2 linked regions of the Diceros bicornis minor genome follow. The protein of the gene in region 1 interacts with the protein of each later gene in a pairwise test. Links are inferred from orthologs where the notes say so. Each region holds a gene or a part of one and is shown on either strand. Other genes may lie near its edges.

Region 1 (6,815 bases):
GCCTAACAAGCGGTGCGTCGGTGCGCACCCGGGATCCGAACCTGCGAACCCCGGGCCGCGGCAGCAGAACATGCACACTTAACCACTTGCGCCACCAGGCTGGCCCCCACACCTATAGTTTTAGAACACTTATAAAAAACGATATTCAGAACTAGATGTCCGGATGACACATATCAGAAATCCCGGTGTTAGAGATAGCAGCTGCAAACTTATCAACCTCAGCATTTAATTCTTGTTTTGATTGAACAAAATCAATAAAATTCTGATTCACACAGAAAATAACTTAGTATCTTAACCACTGCTCACGATCTTCATGATAAATGGAGGGCAATACATAACTAAAAACTATCTATGATACAACATTATCATATCCGACATGCTACACTTGCACCTGTTCACACAGCTGAGATCTCAACGAGATCCAGTGAGCATCTGCACCTGAGCCTCGTGGTCCTCTCAGAGCATCACACATATGTAGTGACAGACCTTTTGTACAATTTCGTATGATAAAAAATTCACGGGGGTGAAAATAAATACATTAATACCAGTGCAGAACTATAGCCTTCCTAGTCAATGACACATTTAAGAGACATTAAATAGGCATAGAAATGACAAAGAATTTATACTGAGAACTGTACAAAAATGAGTTATTTGGCAGCACAAGGTAGGGACTGGGTAATGTCTATCACTGGAGTATATGGACCATTCTACCTCCATGCTCTGCTCACCGTCCGATACCCCTTCCTGGTTTCCTAAGATTCAGGTGAAATGCCCCTCCAATCCTGCCTGGAGAAGGGCCGCCTCCTCCTCAGCTGCCTCTTGATCCCTTATCAGTGTCAGTAACTGCAATAAGCCAGGGGCTGGGCCCTTCTCTGGCAGAGCAAGCTTCCTGCGCAGCCTTCTGTGGACTGCTCCAGCAATGACTTGGTCCAGGCGGGCCTGATTCACAACTTCTCTCTCAATTGCTCCTCTCTCTACCAGCTTCTGTAATAAAGGCTCCAGCCTTAGTACATAAGCAGACAATTTTTCTTCCTCCTGGTAAGTGGTTAGATATTTGACCTGCAACTTCCTAGGATTATCAGTAACCCCAAATACCTGCTCAAGAGCCTGCAGGCATTCAGGGACCGTAATTAACGGATTGTTTATCTTGAGGACACGAATGACATCAAATGCTGGGCCTCTAAGGCTCTCCAGCAATCGCCTTCTTTTCTCTGCATCTGAAACCTGCCATGCCTTCATCATGTGAGTAGTATGAATCAGCCAGGATTCAAATTCTTCTTCGTCTGGTTCTGGAGGATCACTGCCCGAGAATATTCTCAGCTTTGTGTATTTCAGGTACTGCAGGGCAGGCTGAAGAGCCTCAAGAAATGCCTGTGCCAACATAGGGGCCCGTATTTCTGGGCTCATGTCCTGGTCTAGGTCAAAAGGGTCGTTTCCATACCCAAGAGCTCTGGTGAACTCACCCAATGTCATGCCCTCTCCCTCTAAGAATTCATTTAATCTGCTTAAAAATGCATCATCTGGGTCAGGGGGCTTAAAGATCACTCTCCAGACACGCCCTTTCCCAGGTATCTCCTTAGGGACCAGAGCATGACTAGTCTCCTGAGTAAGACCTATTAAGGCTACATTTCTGTTCTCGTCCCTCCTAAACATCCTGCCGAGCAGTCTGTACTCGCCCAAGGGAGCTAGGCCAGCCCGCAGGGCCTCCTCGATCTCCGCCACATTGCAGGTCTGGGGGATGCCGGCGATCAGCAGCGCTTTCCGAGCGCTCACATCCATCTCCCTGCACCAGTCTTCCAAGATCCTCAGCGTCATGATGCCCCAAACAAGAGACTGAAATGTCGGGGCACCGATGCCACCGCACTTCCTCCGCGGTACCCCAGGTAAGTCCCGCCAGCGTCCTGAGCTCGGCGGCCTGCGGGGACAGCGCGGCCGGGTTAGTCGCAGGGGTCCAGGCCCGGGCCCGAGAAGCCCCGCGCACCGCGCCGGCCGCACCGCGGCCGGCAGCCATCTCACCCGCTCCTCGGCCTGGGGCGCCCGCAGCCGACGGCGGGGCCGCGTCCCCTCGCCGGTGATCTAGTCGCCGGTGTCTGCGTCCGCCGGCGGCCAGGCCCGAGGAGCGGGAGCGCGGCGTCTCCTGCACTCGATGGACACTCGAGAGGCTCCCGGGGCTGGGCAGAGGCGCGGAGGAGGGCTGGCGCTCTGCGCGGCGAGGAGCGCCGGGCGATCAGGGCGGCGAGCGAGGCACCGGGGGGCGAGCCCGAGGAGCGCCGAGGCGGCGGGGCGCACCTGAGGGGAGGGGCCCCCACCCGCGCCGCCGCAGCGTCCCGCGTCCCGACCCGCACCGCCGGCGAAGGCCCGACGTCACGACGGGGCGGGCCTTTCGGGGCGGGGCGCGCGCTTCCGGCTCGAGCCGGAAGCCCCGACTGCGGCAGCGTCCGGGACCGCGGGCGGGCGGGCTAACCCGGACAGGAAGGTGAGATCCGGGACCTGCCAGCCCTGCAGGCTCGGCCGGCGGCGGCCGCCCGGCACGGGGCTCCCGGCGCTGCGAGGCGGAGAGGCTTGGGCCTGGCGCCGCCCGCGCAGCCTGTCGCGGCCGGCCGGCGCTGCAGCGCGGCAGGGGGCGGGACGGCCGCAGGGAGGCCCGGGTGGCTGGGGAGCGTCGGGCCGGGCCGGGTGACACGGGCTGGGGCTCCGGCGGTGGCGGCGGCCGGGGCCGGGCCGCCGCGTGACCGGCCGCAGTCACGCTCTGCTTAATCACAATTAGCTTGTGCTCCAGGCTGGCCGCGCTCACCTTTCTCCCAGCCGGTGACCCCGGAGATTTCTTTTATGGTGGCTTTCTGTGAAATGCCAAAGCCACCCGATTATTCAGAACTGAGTGACTCTTTAACGCTTGCCGTGGGAACAGGAAGATTTTCGGGACCATTGTAAGTGCTTAAGAGTTACTGTCTTAACTTGGGGGCCTTGACGTTGGTTTGACTTGTAGAACTAAGTGTTCACGTCTGAAGCAATACTGTTCAAGTATTTTAACTGTAAAAGTGAATTGTTCCGTAGGAAACTAGTTTAATTCCAATTTCTTAATGGAAGATGTGCTGGACCTATTAAGCTGGATATAGTGATTTATTTATTCTGTGGGATTCACATAAAAAGCAGACTGAATACTAAAACTTTACTTCCTCTTATTACATAAAACAGCAATCTGTAAGTTATTTACATTTCTTTGTAAATGTAATTTATTTTAAACCTTAAATGCCTTAGTGGGGTACTTTAGAACTCCTTGGACATAAAGCAAGTACATTTGGAATAGTTGCCGTGACAGCATTACTAGATCCTAACTTTTTTTTTTATTTTAAAGGCACAGAGCATGGAGAATGATGAACTTCCGTCAGCGGATGGGATGGATTGGAGTGGGATTGTATCTGTTAGCAAGTGCAGCAGCATTTTACTATGTTTTTGAAATCAATGAGACTTACAACAGGCTGGCCTTGGAACACATTCAACAGCACCCAGAGGAGCCCCTTGAAGGAACCACATGGACACACTCTTTGAAAGCTCGGTTATTCTCTCTGCCGTTTTGGTTTTGGACAATTATTTTTCTGATACCTTACTTACAGATGTTTTTGTTCCTTTATTCTTGTACAAGAGCTGACCCCAAGACGGTGGGCTACTGTATTATCCCCATATGCTTGGCAGTTATTTGCAATCGCCACCAGGCATTTGTCAAGGCTTCTAATCAGATCAGCAGACTACAACTGATTGACACGTGAAAGCAGTCACAGTTTTTTCCTTATGATTACAAAACTGCCATATGGAACTTGATCACAAGACTGCACTTTCTTCACAGATCTCAGGAAGTTGTGGTGGGGCAGAGGCTTTTTAAAAAATGCGACTAGGGGGCTATCTTTATCTGAATAATAATGAGAATTTTTAGGTAAAGCCTGAGATACATACTACAAAATCATGTTGATGATTTCAGATTTTGGAAGTAAAATCGTGTCTGTTATTTGCATTCTTTAGCAACTTGAATAAGTACCTGAACTCATATTTTTATTCTACTGTGCAACATAGTGATGGTTCAGAAATTTTTCCTTTGGGGAAAAAATGAGTATGAACATTTCCATTGTGTTTAATGTAAAAAGGTCCAAACATGGTGATAAAATTTAAATTTTATACAATTACTTGGCTTGCTTTAAAATTCTTCAGACTAAAACACCAACTATTTATGCTTGCTTGCTATCAGCTTGTGAGAAATTGGTATAAAATTACTGAGGTGATAGCTGTCTGGATAAGCAGAATTGGTTCCTCCTTTTGGTAATGCTACTGGTATTATTAACTAGCATTATTAATGCTACTGGTTTAAAAAAAAACTACTTGGGAAGAGACTGTTTGCAAGTTGAGAAATCTGACACAGAGGAGATGGAAACAAGGTGTCCAGTGAAAATATTTAGTCCAGTCCCTGTCAGATGTGTGATCCTGCTCTAAAAGATACCAGCAAGTCATCATCCTTCCGATTCTCTTTTCTGGCCTAAGGTCTGGTCTTCAGACAACAGGTTAATTGCATGAAGATGTGATCCTTGTACTTCCTGCTTTGCATTTGTACGTACTACCTCATGTCTGGTGCCAATACAAATAACTAAAAAATGGAAATATTAGATTTTAGGATTTTTTTTCTTTTTTCCTGGTTGAGCTCAAGATATATTTTTATACAGTTATGTCATTAATATCAGGGAAATGTTTTACAGTGATAGGTTTTAATAATAATCATAATATTTTGGGGGGCTTACTCTGTTGGGCCCTGTTCTAAGAGCTTAAATGAATTAATTCATTTAATCCTCCCAACAACCCTATGAGATAGCAGTTATTATGCAGATTTTACAGATAAGGAAACTGAAGTGGAGAAGATAAGTAACTTGCCAAAGGTCACACAGCTGGTGAGTAGCGGAGCCAGAGTCATAACTAGGCATGTGACTCCTTTGTTCCTAACCACTGAGTTGTTAGTGCTTCTTGCAAATGACAGATGTTTCAGCACTAGGTACTGTTTGCCTAGCCATGTCAAAGAGTGGAAATGGCAGTAGTATTGAGAAGGCTTTTCTCAATTTGTATGAGCTACTGAAAATCTGAAAGTTTTCTGGCAACCTCAACCTTTAAGTCTGATTTGACCAGAATGGAGGGCTGAGCATTCCACAGCAAGCTTTTACTTGAAAAATAAAGCAGGCATCTTTGTAACTGAAAAGGAGCACGATTAAATCCTCCTCCAATTAATCTCATTTCTTGACTACCTCCAAAGGTCTAATTACTGAAATGATACTTTTCGCTACAATACACTGAATCTTCAATGTAAGCAGCAGTTTGAAATACCTGTGTTTCTGCGAGGGTCAGATAACCAAATCCCTTGTATCTTTTGGGTACTTAGTGATAGTAGGCATGCGGCAGGAAACATTTTCTGAATGGTTTGCATTCATTCCCAGCATCCTGTGAGGCAGGCTGTACTGGTCCTGGTGCCACTTTACAGAAGAGGAAAGGTGGAAACCTGAGGCACAGGAATTAGTAACTTGCCCGTGGGCACACAGCAGTAAGTGGGAGAGCCAGGATCTGAGCCAGGACGTCTGGCTTGACATCTCCAGCTCTGTCATTCCACCATACTGCTTCTCAAAAAGAGAGGGTAATTTGAGGAAAATCATGGAGCAGTTTTTTGTATTTGATTAGTCCTGAGGCAGTGATAGTTTGGAAATTAAGAAAATTATTTCAATTATTTTTTGTTTTGTAAATGCTTGATGTATTGCGAGGTTGGTGACTTTGCCACTTGTAAAGTAGTAATTCCTTTTTATGGAAGTAGACTTTCTCTCTTATACTTCAAATTCTAATATTTGGGGATTTGGTGAGTAAATGCTCAGTCCCTCTCTCTCTTTCAAGATCAAACTGCCTTGGTAGAAGAAATATTAAAATAATTAGAGTAGGAGTAATGCAGTATTCTCAGATGTAATTACTGAATTTCAGATTGCAGCGTTAATCTATTTTTTGATTCTTTAGGAATTAATTATCCAAGTTGTGGATTATTCTTATTTTGTCTATGGCTATTTAAAAGTTCATGGGGGGCCGGCCCCGTGGCTTAGCGGTTAAGTGCGTGCGCTCTGCTACTGGCGGCCTGGGTGCGGATCCCGGGCGCACACCAACGCACTGCTTCTCCGGCCATGCTGAGGCTGCGTCCCACATACAGCAACTAGAAGGATGTGCAACTATAACATACAACTATCTACTGGGGCTTCGGGGGGAAAAAAAAGGAGGAGGATTGGCAATAGATGTTAGCTCAGAGCCAGTCTTCCTTAGCAAAAAGAGGATTAGCATGGATGTTAGTTCAGAGCTGATCTTCCTCACAAAAAATAATAAAAAAAAAGTTCATGGGGCCGGCCTGGTGGCATAGCGGTTAAGTGTGCATGCTCCGCTTCGGCGGCCCAGGGTTTGCGGGTTCGGATCCGGGGTGCACACCAACGCACCGCTTGTCAAGCCATGCTGTGGCAGTGTCCCGTATAAAGTAGAGGAAGATGGGCACGCATGTTAGCCCAGGGCCAGTCTTCCTCAGCAAAAAAAGGACTGGCAATGGATGTTAGGGCTGATCTTCCTCACAAAAAAAAGTTAAAAGCACTCTTTTGGTAAAGAGGGAAAGGTGAAATTAACCTAGCTCTGTTAGATTTGAGGAGGAGGTTGAAATTGATGGATAGGAGACCTATGTATTATAGCAGATCGTCATTTATTTCATGTTCACATCACAATACAAAAAGCAGTGAAAACAAGACTAGGTAGTGAGATAAATGGCA
Region 2 (7,835 bases), on another chromosome or scaffold:
CGGGACCCAGCCTTTGCTTAACCAAGAATAAACTGCTGAGACTTTTCCTTTCATTTGAGTGCCCCACTAATGGTAAATAAATTCAGACTGCTCATGTTTAGATTAAATTCTCTACTGAAGTTGGATAGGCTGTAGTTTTTTTTGAATGCAAACTAATGAGGAGGATGCCAGAAGAAAATGAGCACATGAATCCCAGCTCCCATGCTGAACATCCTTAGGCTAGGCCTTTCATGCCACTACAGGATGTTGATAGAGCAATGTGAGAGGGCTCACCTTCAACTTCTAGTTCTTGCTAAGTAAGACCTCATGTCAACTTTTCTTATATTCACTGCAGAGGGCTTTCTTCATTTATTAAACCAAACCTTTAAATTGCACCTGTGCTGTTGAATCCCTTAATTATTACATAATTCCTGTACTATTATCAAGTCAGCTTTCACAAAGTAGCAAGCTCACTCTAAAAAAAGTAATGTTTAAATATCCATTCTAAAAATAAAAGCAATTAAAAAACCTGCTTTATTAAAAACTAGTTTATTAATTTGCCAGCAAAATTTTAATAAAGGATAAGCATACTTACAATTTCTTCTTCTAGAACACCTCTGAAAGCTTGGTCAAGGGTACATTTTTTTTCATTTTCACTATTAAAAAACAAAAGACACTTGCATTTTTTAAACAGCTCAAGGTAAGTACAAAGATCCAGGCAAGCATATTTCATGGATGTCAATGCCGTACCTGCCAGGTAACTGGCTGAAGGTATTCAACAATGGCTTGATATTTTTGTTGTTCAGGGCCTCTCTGGTAGACTTCTAGAAAAATAAAAATAGGAAATAAGTGGAAAGATTTTGCTTATTATTTACTGAAAACCATATCACTTATCAATAGTATGTCTAAGTAAAAAATATTTTTACCTGGGAAAAATTACCTACCAATCATTCTATCAGTAATTCTTATTCAAACGCCACTTACTGATACAGACTCTCATCACTTTAAACCTGTCAAGAGCTTCCTAGCTAGACTTTCTTATTACAGGTGTTCCCTCCTACCATCTCTTTAAATATCACATTCATGAGAGTATTCTGCTTTTTTTTTTTTAAAAACCTCTAAATGGCTCTCTATTTACAGGTTTTGGTTTTGAAGTTTCATAGCTCACTCTCAAGGTCCTTGATAATATTATCCCACTCACTTTATCTAATCTTATTTCCCACTACACCCTAACATAATTTCCACTAAGGTCTAGCTGTTTTTTCATCAGTTTCTATCAAGCTCACTCAAGGGTATTCATACATTCATGTTGTTCTTTCCACCTGCTCGTCCAAATTCTATCCATTCTTCAAGACCCATCTCAAGTCCTACCTCCTTTAGGTAGCTTGATCAGCACAGTCCCTGCTGACTGTCTTAAAGTAGTCATAATTGAAAGACAAGAATATTGCAAAGTCATTCATTCTGTGAAAATTCACATACACCTGCAAAGTCATCTTATTGCCTCATAGGAGTTAGATTTATACTGTAAATAGGCTGTGTAATCTCGGGCCTATCGTTTTATCTCTTTGTGCTTCATTTTCCTCTCCAGTTAACTAAGAGGGATGTTGTAGATCCTTACAACAGCAGTGGCATCACCTCCGAACTTGTTAGAGATACAGAATCTCGGGCCCCATTCTAGACTTACTGAACCAGAATCTACATTTAACAATTTATCTCTAGGTGATCCCACTACACACGGAAACTTGAGAAACAATGGACTAGATGATCTCCAATTAAATGGTCCCTTCCAGGACTAATGTGATCTTGGAGATTCCTCAAGTTACTCTTAGCAGAACTTCAGAGCACCAGGGATTACAGCAAAATGCACAGAAGGAAAACGATTCTGATAACATAAACAACATATAATTTGGTAAAAAACAAACACCACACTGTATGAAAAAAATAATACCTGAACACAAGAAAACTACTGACTACAAAGAATCAATTTTCTTTCACAGAATTTTCATTCGGGCATGACTACAACTACATGAGCATAGTTAAGCATAATCAGTAGTTTCATGACTTGAAATATTGGCACAAATGCTAAAGACAAATACAGTCAAACAATTTTGAACAGAGTTCTTCATGTTTGGGGCTATCATGGGCAATATAAAAAGAATACTGGGTCTGAAGTCAGAAAAATCAGTGAAGTAAATCATTTAACTTTGGGGGGGGCAGTGTCTTAGTTTTTCTCTCATATACAACGGATAATAAAACTTACCTACTTCACACTCCTATTGTAAGAGTTAAATAAGCCAACATGAAAACGCTCTGTAAAGTGTTTCCCAAAGCTCCAACTGCTTTTCCCCAAAGCGTAAGAATAAAATAACATCTGGCAACCTTTCCCAAGCTGATCTGTTTGCCTCTTCCCACTTAGGATCTCCTCATCGATCTCTTAGGAGCGAGATACTGAGAGTTACAAGTGCAGGGAACAGACAGACGGAAAAACCACCTGGCAGCTTAGGAGGCAGGGCAGGAGCCGGTTCTCTGGGCTGAAACCACGCCCGCCTCTCCGCACACCCCCCCGCCCCGCGTAGCTCCCCGTCCAGTTCCGGAGACACCTGCCCCGCTAAGCGAGCACTGACGAGGAGCTGGCCCGCACCGGAGGTAGTCTGCGGATGAGCCCTCCACGCAGGGCTCCAAGACGCCCAGACATCAGGGTCCCGGGGCCCGCTGGCGGGAGAGCGGAGGCGGACAGCAAAGGACTGGCGAAAGACGCAGGTAAAGCGTCTTTCCCACCTCCAGCCCCTGACGGGGCCGGGAGCCCACGCCGCAGCGTACACGCCTCGGTCCTCACTGTATCCCAGGGCAAAATTTGAGTAATTTCAGAGAGAGGAGGGCAAAGAGTAGCCCTGGGTTAGGCCTGCCCCCTCCTGCCTTCCGCTCACCGTAAACCGCGTCCGCGCTTCGGGCAAACTGAAGAGCTGCGGCGTCGGAGACATCTTCCCGGCTGCGCTGGCCCGCCACCGCGCTGTGGCGCCCGCTGATGACGTCAAGCCGAGAGCAACGAGATTGCCGGCTCGGTGCACGGCTAGAGCGGCGTGTGAGCCAAGGGGGGGGCCAGCTGCCAGTCCGGAGACTCTGTGGGGACCGCCCACTCAGGTGGGCGTTGGAAGCCTGAGTCAGCCGCGCAGAGCCTAGTCCGGGTTTGTGGCGTACCCTTGGGGTGACGGCATTTGGGCTGCCTCGTCCTGTAAGCTCTGCGCTGCCGGGCGGGCCCTAAGCCGGGACGCGCACCGGCGGTGGTTTTCCCGGTTTGGGGAAGCCGGGAGGGTGGCGGCTAGTTACGGCTCAGTGCGCCGCGCGGGAAGGTAACCGCTGCCCGAGAATCCAAGGCAGGCGGGTTATCTGGGCAAGTGTTGGCGGTGGCCGGGGACCGCCGGGCCTCAGTCATTCTCCCCGAAGGAGTGGTCTCAGCTCCGGATTTACGTATCAGCCCTGTAGTTCAAGTGCTCTGTGGCTCAGGAGCAGTTCCCTCTTCTGTGACATAGAAATAATGCCTGTATCACAGGGCTGTTGAGAAGCGCGAATGAAACCATGAAGGCAAGTGTGGCTTGTAAAGCAATATAACTTATTGTTAATATCTTGGACTCAGTTAACTTTGGTGGCACGTGGAGGTCTCTACTGAACGATCAAGACCGGGGAGGAATGCCATACTCGGCTCTGATTGGAAAGTGGGTGGGCGCCGCGTCCAGGTAGAGGCACCCGTTTCAAAACGCTGTCTCCTCAGCAGTTTCCTCCTTTGTCTCCTCTCACTGGAGAGGCTTGGTTATGAGAAGCCAACTGTCAGTAACTTTCTCAGTTGGCATTGTGCTGTGGGGAAAGAAGCACTGACCCAAATACGAGGAACTTCCTGCCAGCTCTTATTCCCTTCCACGTGTACCTAAATGAAGAAAGCTAGGTGCGCTTTACATTGTTCCCCTCGTTGACATCCAACGAGAATACGGGAAGCTAACAAAAAGATACTTTTGCCTAGTTTTGCCCCTAAGTGGGGATTGATAACAGTGATGGCTACCTACAGCACGGCACTCTTTTTTAGAATCAGCAGAATCATTCAGGTTTGATTGTATGACTTAAATTTCCAAAGAGGCAAAATAAACTGATATTAGCTGATTTAATAGGTAGCTAGTGTAATAGGATTATTATTATGTTACAGATGATTATTAGCTACCTGGAGCACAATTAAGACCTGGGAGGTATATAAGATTATTTTTTACCAAAACCCAAACATAAGAAGAGCTGGAGTTGATTGACTCGTCCATCAAAGCCCAGTGACTTAGAATTTTTGTTTATTCAGCAAACATTTGTTGGCCATTTTATACACAGTGGACAGTGTTTGTTGAATGAATAATAAATATATGAACAAATGATTGAACAAAATAATATAGTTTAATTCCTGTTTTGAGGAGCTCTGGTTGGCATAAAAGAAACAACTACAGTATACAATTTCTATCGTGAGTAATTTAGGTAATAACTGCTGTAGGAGATCAAAGGAGAGAGATCACTACTGTATGAGGTAGTCAAGGAGCCTTTATGGAGAAGATAGAATATGAGCTGGACTTTGAATTCCAATAGGCATAGGTAAGAGTGGGAAGAGGTAAATAGGAAAGACATTCCAAATGGGGAGAATGGTATGAGCCGAGGTATGGAAGGGAGGAAACATAGTGAAAGACAGCTGTTTATTTTGACTTTAACCTTGGGTTCTGAACAGAAATAGTGCTGAAAAGTCAAGTTGGAACAAGATTGTATTAATGTTTGAGGCCAAAGAATGTTGTGGGTTAAAAATGGCTTTTATGGTTCCTACTAAGTTACAGCAGCAGTATATTTTGGGGGGAGGAGAAAGTGAGCTGTTTTGCTGCTACCAAGTGAAGCAATACCAGATAAAGAAATAGTAGGAAAAAAGCAGCAATCATCAGGTGATAATGGGGAGTTATTGTTTAATAGGTACAGATTTCAGCTTGGGATGATGAAAAAATTCTGGAGATGGATAGTGGTGATTGTTGCACAACAATGTGAATGTACTTAATGCCACAGAACTGTACACTTAAAATGATTAAAATGCCAAATTTTATGTATATTTTACCACAATAAAAAATAAAACCTATTTTTAAAAAGCAGCAATCTGATGCTAGATAGATTAAAAAGAGCTAAGACATCATAGACATCAGTATGATTTGAGACCTCAAGATAAGATTATATTTAGATTTTATTTATTTTTATTTTTTCCCCCCAAAGCCACAGTAGATAGTTGTATGTCATAGCTGCACATCCTTCCAGTTGCTGTATGTGGGACGCGGCCTCAGCATGGCCGGAGAAGCGGTGCGTCGGTGCGCGCCCAGGATGCGAACCCGGGCCGCCAGCAGCGGACAGCGCGCACCCAACCGCTAAGCCATGGGGCTGGCCCTAAGATTATATTTAATAAAGCAAAGAAGTAGTAATGCATTTTAAAAAGATGTCATTCAAAAATCATTGCAGGGGCCAGTCCGGTAGCACAGGCGGTTAAGTGCACGCGCTCCACTGCGGCGGTTGGATCCTGCGAGCGCACCCACGCACTGCTTGGCAAGCCATGCTGTGGCGGCGTCCCATATAAAGTGGAGGAAGATGGGCACGGATGTTAGCCCAGGGCCAGTCTTCCTCACCAAAAAAAAGAGGAGGATTGGCAGATGTTAGCACAGGGGCTGATCTCCTCACAAACAAACAAACAAACAAAAAACAAAAATCACTGCAGTAAAAAATATTTTAGCATTTAGATCACGTTAAAAAATCTTTATAATTCCCAGTGTACTTAACATGTAGTATCTCATTTGATCCTCTAAATGATATTTTGAGGTGGGTAATACAGCTATTATGCCCATTTTACACACAAGGAAGCAAACTCAAAGAGGTATGGTTCTTGATAGAGGTAATTGGCAAAATGAGACCACTCAGGGGTTTTGATTCCAAATTTCGTGCTCTTTACACCATGTTATACTGTTGTAAGTAATTGTCAAGTTTTATTGAGTACATTCTATGAGCCAGACACTTTTCTTGTATTATTTCTACGCCTTACAACAGCATTGTACATAGTTATCTATCAGTGAGGAAACAGGCTCATCTGTCTTAGGTCACATGGCTAGAGAAAGCTAGTTTGGGATTTGAGCCTACCTTTAATCCTTAACTCTTGAATCTTTACCAACAGACATTCCTATCTTAATGTCTCATACATTATTTCCTTACAGTTGGATAAGGGTAAGGATCATATTGTCATCAATAACAACGAATTATAAGTTTTCAAAAGTTTGTAATAATAAAGTTCAAAGGGCAGACATCCAATAACATGTAACCTCTTTGCTTACGTTTATTACGCACTGGTTTTTCCTCTTATGCTAGTGAGGTAAGATGGACCAGGAACTGCCTCTCTGTTAGGAGATACCCTCCATTGGAAATTCCAGGGTGGGTGGTTTAGTTCAGTGCCAAGCATTCACATCTTCATTCCTCTTCTTTTCCTTGCTGTGCTCTTACTTGGATTCAGGTTACCACTGGAGTGGTGAGATCTAGGAGAAAAGGACCAAGGAGGCAGCCTCATCTGCTTTTGTTCTAGTCCTTATCCTCTAGCCCAGGCAAAAGGAAACTTTTTGCTCCATTCTCATCAGTCAACCACATTAGGATGTTGAATTGCAGCTTTTGCTGGTTCAAGTTCTGGGCCCTAACCATCTTTACCCTTTTCTCTCTCTGTAATTTGAGTGGATTGAAATAATGATATTGACAGGGAACTGATGTTTGAGCAAAAAGCAAAATTGAGCAAGAAAAATGAGACTCCTTCATTGGGAGAGGAATGGAACTGAGAAGAATAAAAATGGAAGAAGGATAGCACTTTGTGTATATTTTGGGACTTACAGTTTTGTGGAAAAAGAGAAATTACATGAAAACTGTGTGGGTGTTGTCTTTTTTATAGGGTGGTGGCAATTTTCAAGCATTTTATATTAATATTGTACTATTTATTCAACACATATTGAGTGCCTACCATCTGCCAGCCATAGGTAGAATATTTTTGGATTATATACGCAGTATTATTATTTTATTAAATTGTAAGTACTGTACATCATTATTTAGTGTACATTGAAAAAGCCTGTTTGGTGAGCTTGGTTGGACCACAATACGTGAACATAATTCAAGGTGAGAGAGAGAATAGTGAGTGACTTCTTGCCACGGTAAGCCCAGCTTCCCTGCAGGGTTAGGCAGAGATTTTGCCTGAAATTGCGCATTGCTTGGCTTGTTCCCCTTTCCTGTCCTGTTTCCCTCTCCCTTACTAGTTTCTCCTGAGAGCACCTTAGTAAATTATTTGCTCATGAATTCTCACCTCAGGGTTTGCTTCTGGAGGTCCTAATTGTGTTAGTTTGGGTCTACCAAGAAGCAGACACCAACACAGGATTAGATGTGCAAGAGGTTTATTATGGAGTCAGTAGGAGCAGGCAGGGAAAGAGAGCTTGCAGACCACAATGCAGGGCTGACACCTGTGGAAGGAGAGAGGGAAGGAAGGAAGATTAGGTAGGAAGTTTCTGAGTGAAGTGCAGATCCAAGAAAGGTTTGACTTTGCCAATGGCGAGTCCTTAGGCCAAACTTCTTCTTAGAGGAGTCCCGTGGTTTGCCAGAATGGACCTGCACTAGTACCTCTGCCATGTTCAGTCATTGACTAGAAAGCAGCCCTCAGAAAGCCTGGCCTTGGTGCAAATGTGGTTGATCCAGAGGTTAACAGCTAAAGCTGTCAGTCAATTATACTCCCCACAGCAAAAGATCTGAGCGGAGCATTATATGACCACCACACTGTCCTAACATAT

What was found.
Region 2: the proteins of MOAP1 (region 1) and THOC1 interact in binary tests that used the Homo sapiens proteins (3 or more experiments, as listed by UniProt). The two-hybrid records come from large-scale screens. The link is inferred for Diceros bicornis minor from reciprocal best matches to the Homo sapiens genes MOAP1 and THOC1.

What each region holds. Positions count from the first base shown.
Region 1 is NC_080763.1:38,850,884-38,857,698, forward strand, and holds MOAP1 (modulator of apoptosis 1), read right to left. Parts: upstream 1,816-6,815; coding exon 760-1,815; 3' UTR 598-759; downstream 1-597. Other genes in the region: LYSET (lysosomal enzyme trafficking factor), read left to right, coding at 1,853-1,883, 2,780-2,927, 3,356-3,767.
Region 2 is NC_080755.1:14,299,813-14,307,647, forward strand, and holds the start of THOC1 (THO complex subunit 1), read right to left. Parts: upstream 3,013-7,835; 5' UTR 2,961-3,012; coding exon 2,907-2,960; intron 2,740-2,906; exon of another isoform or gene 2,592-2,739; intron 804-2,591; coding exon 730-803; intron 636-729; coding exon 575-635; intron 1-574. UniProt on the Homo sapiens protein: Component of the THO subcomplex of the TREX complex which is thought to couple mRNA transcription, processing and nuclear export, and which specifically associates with spliced mRNA and not with unspliced pre-mRNA.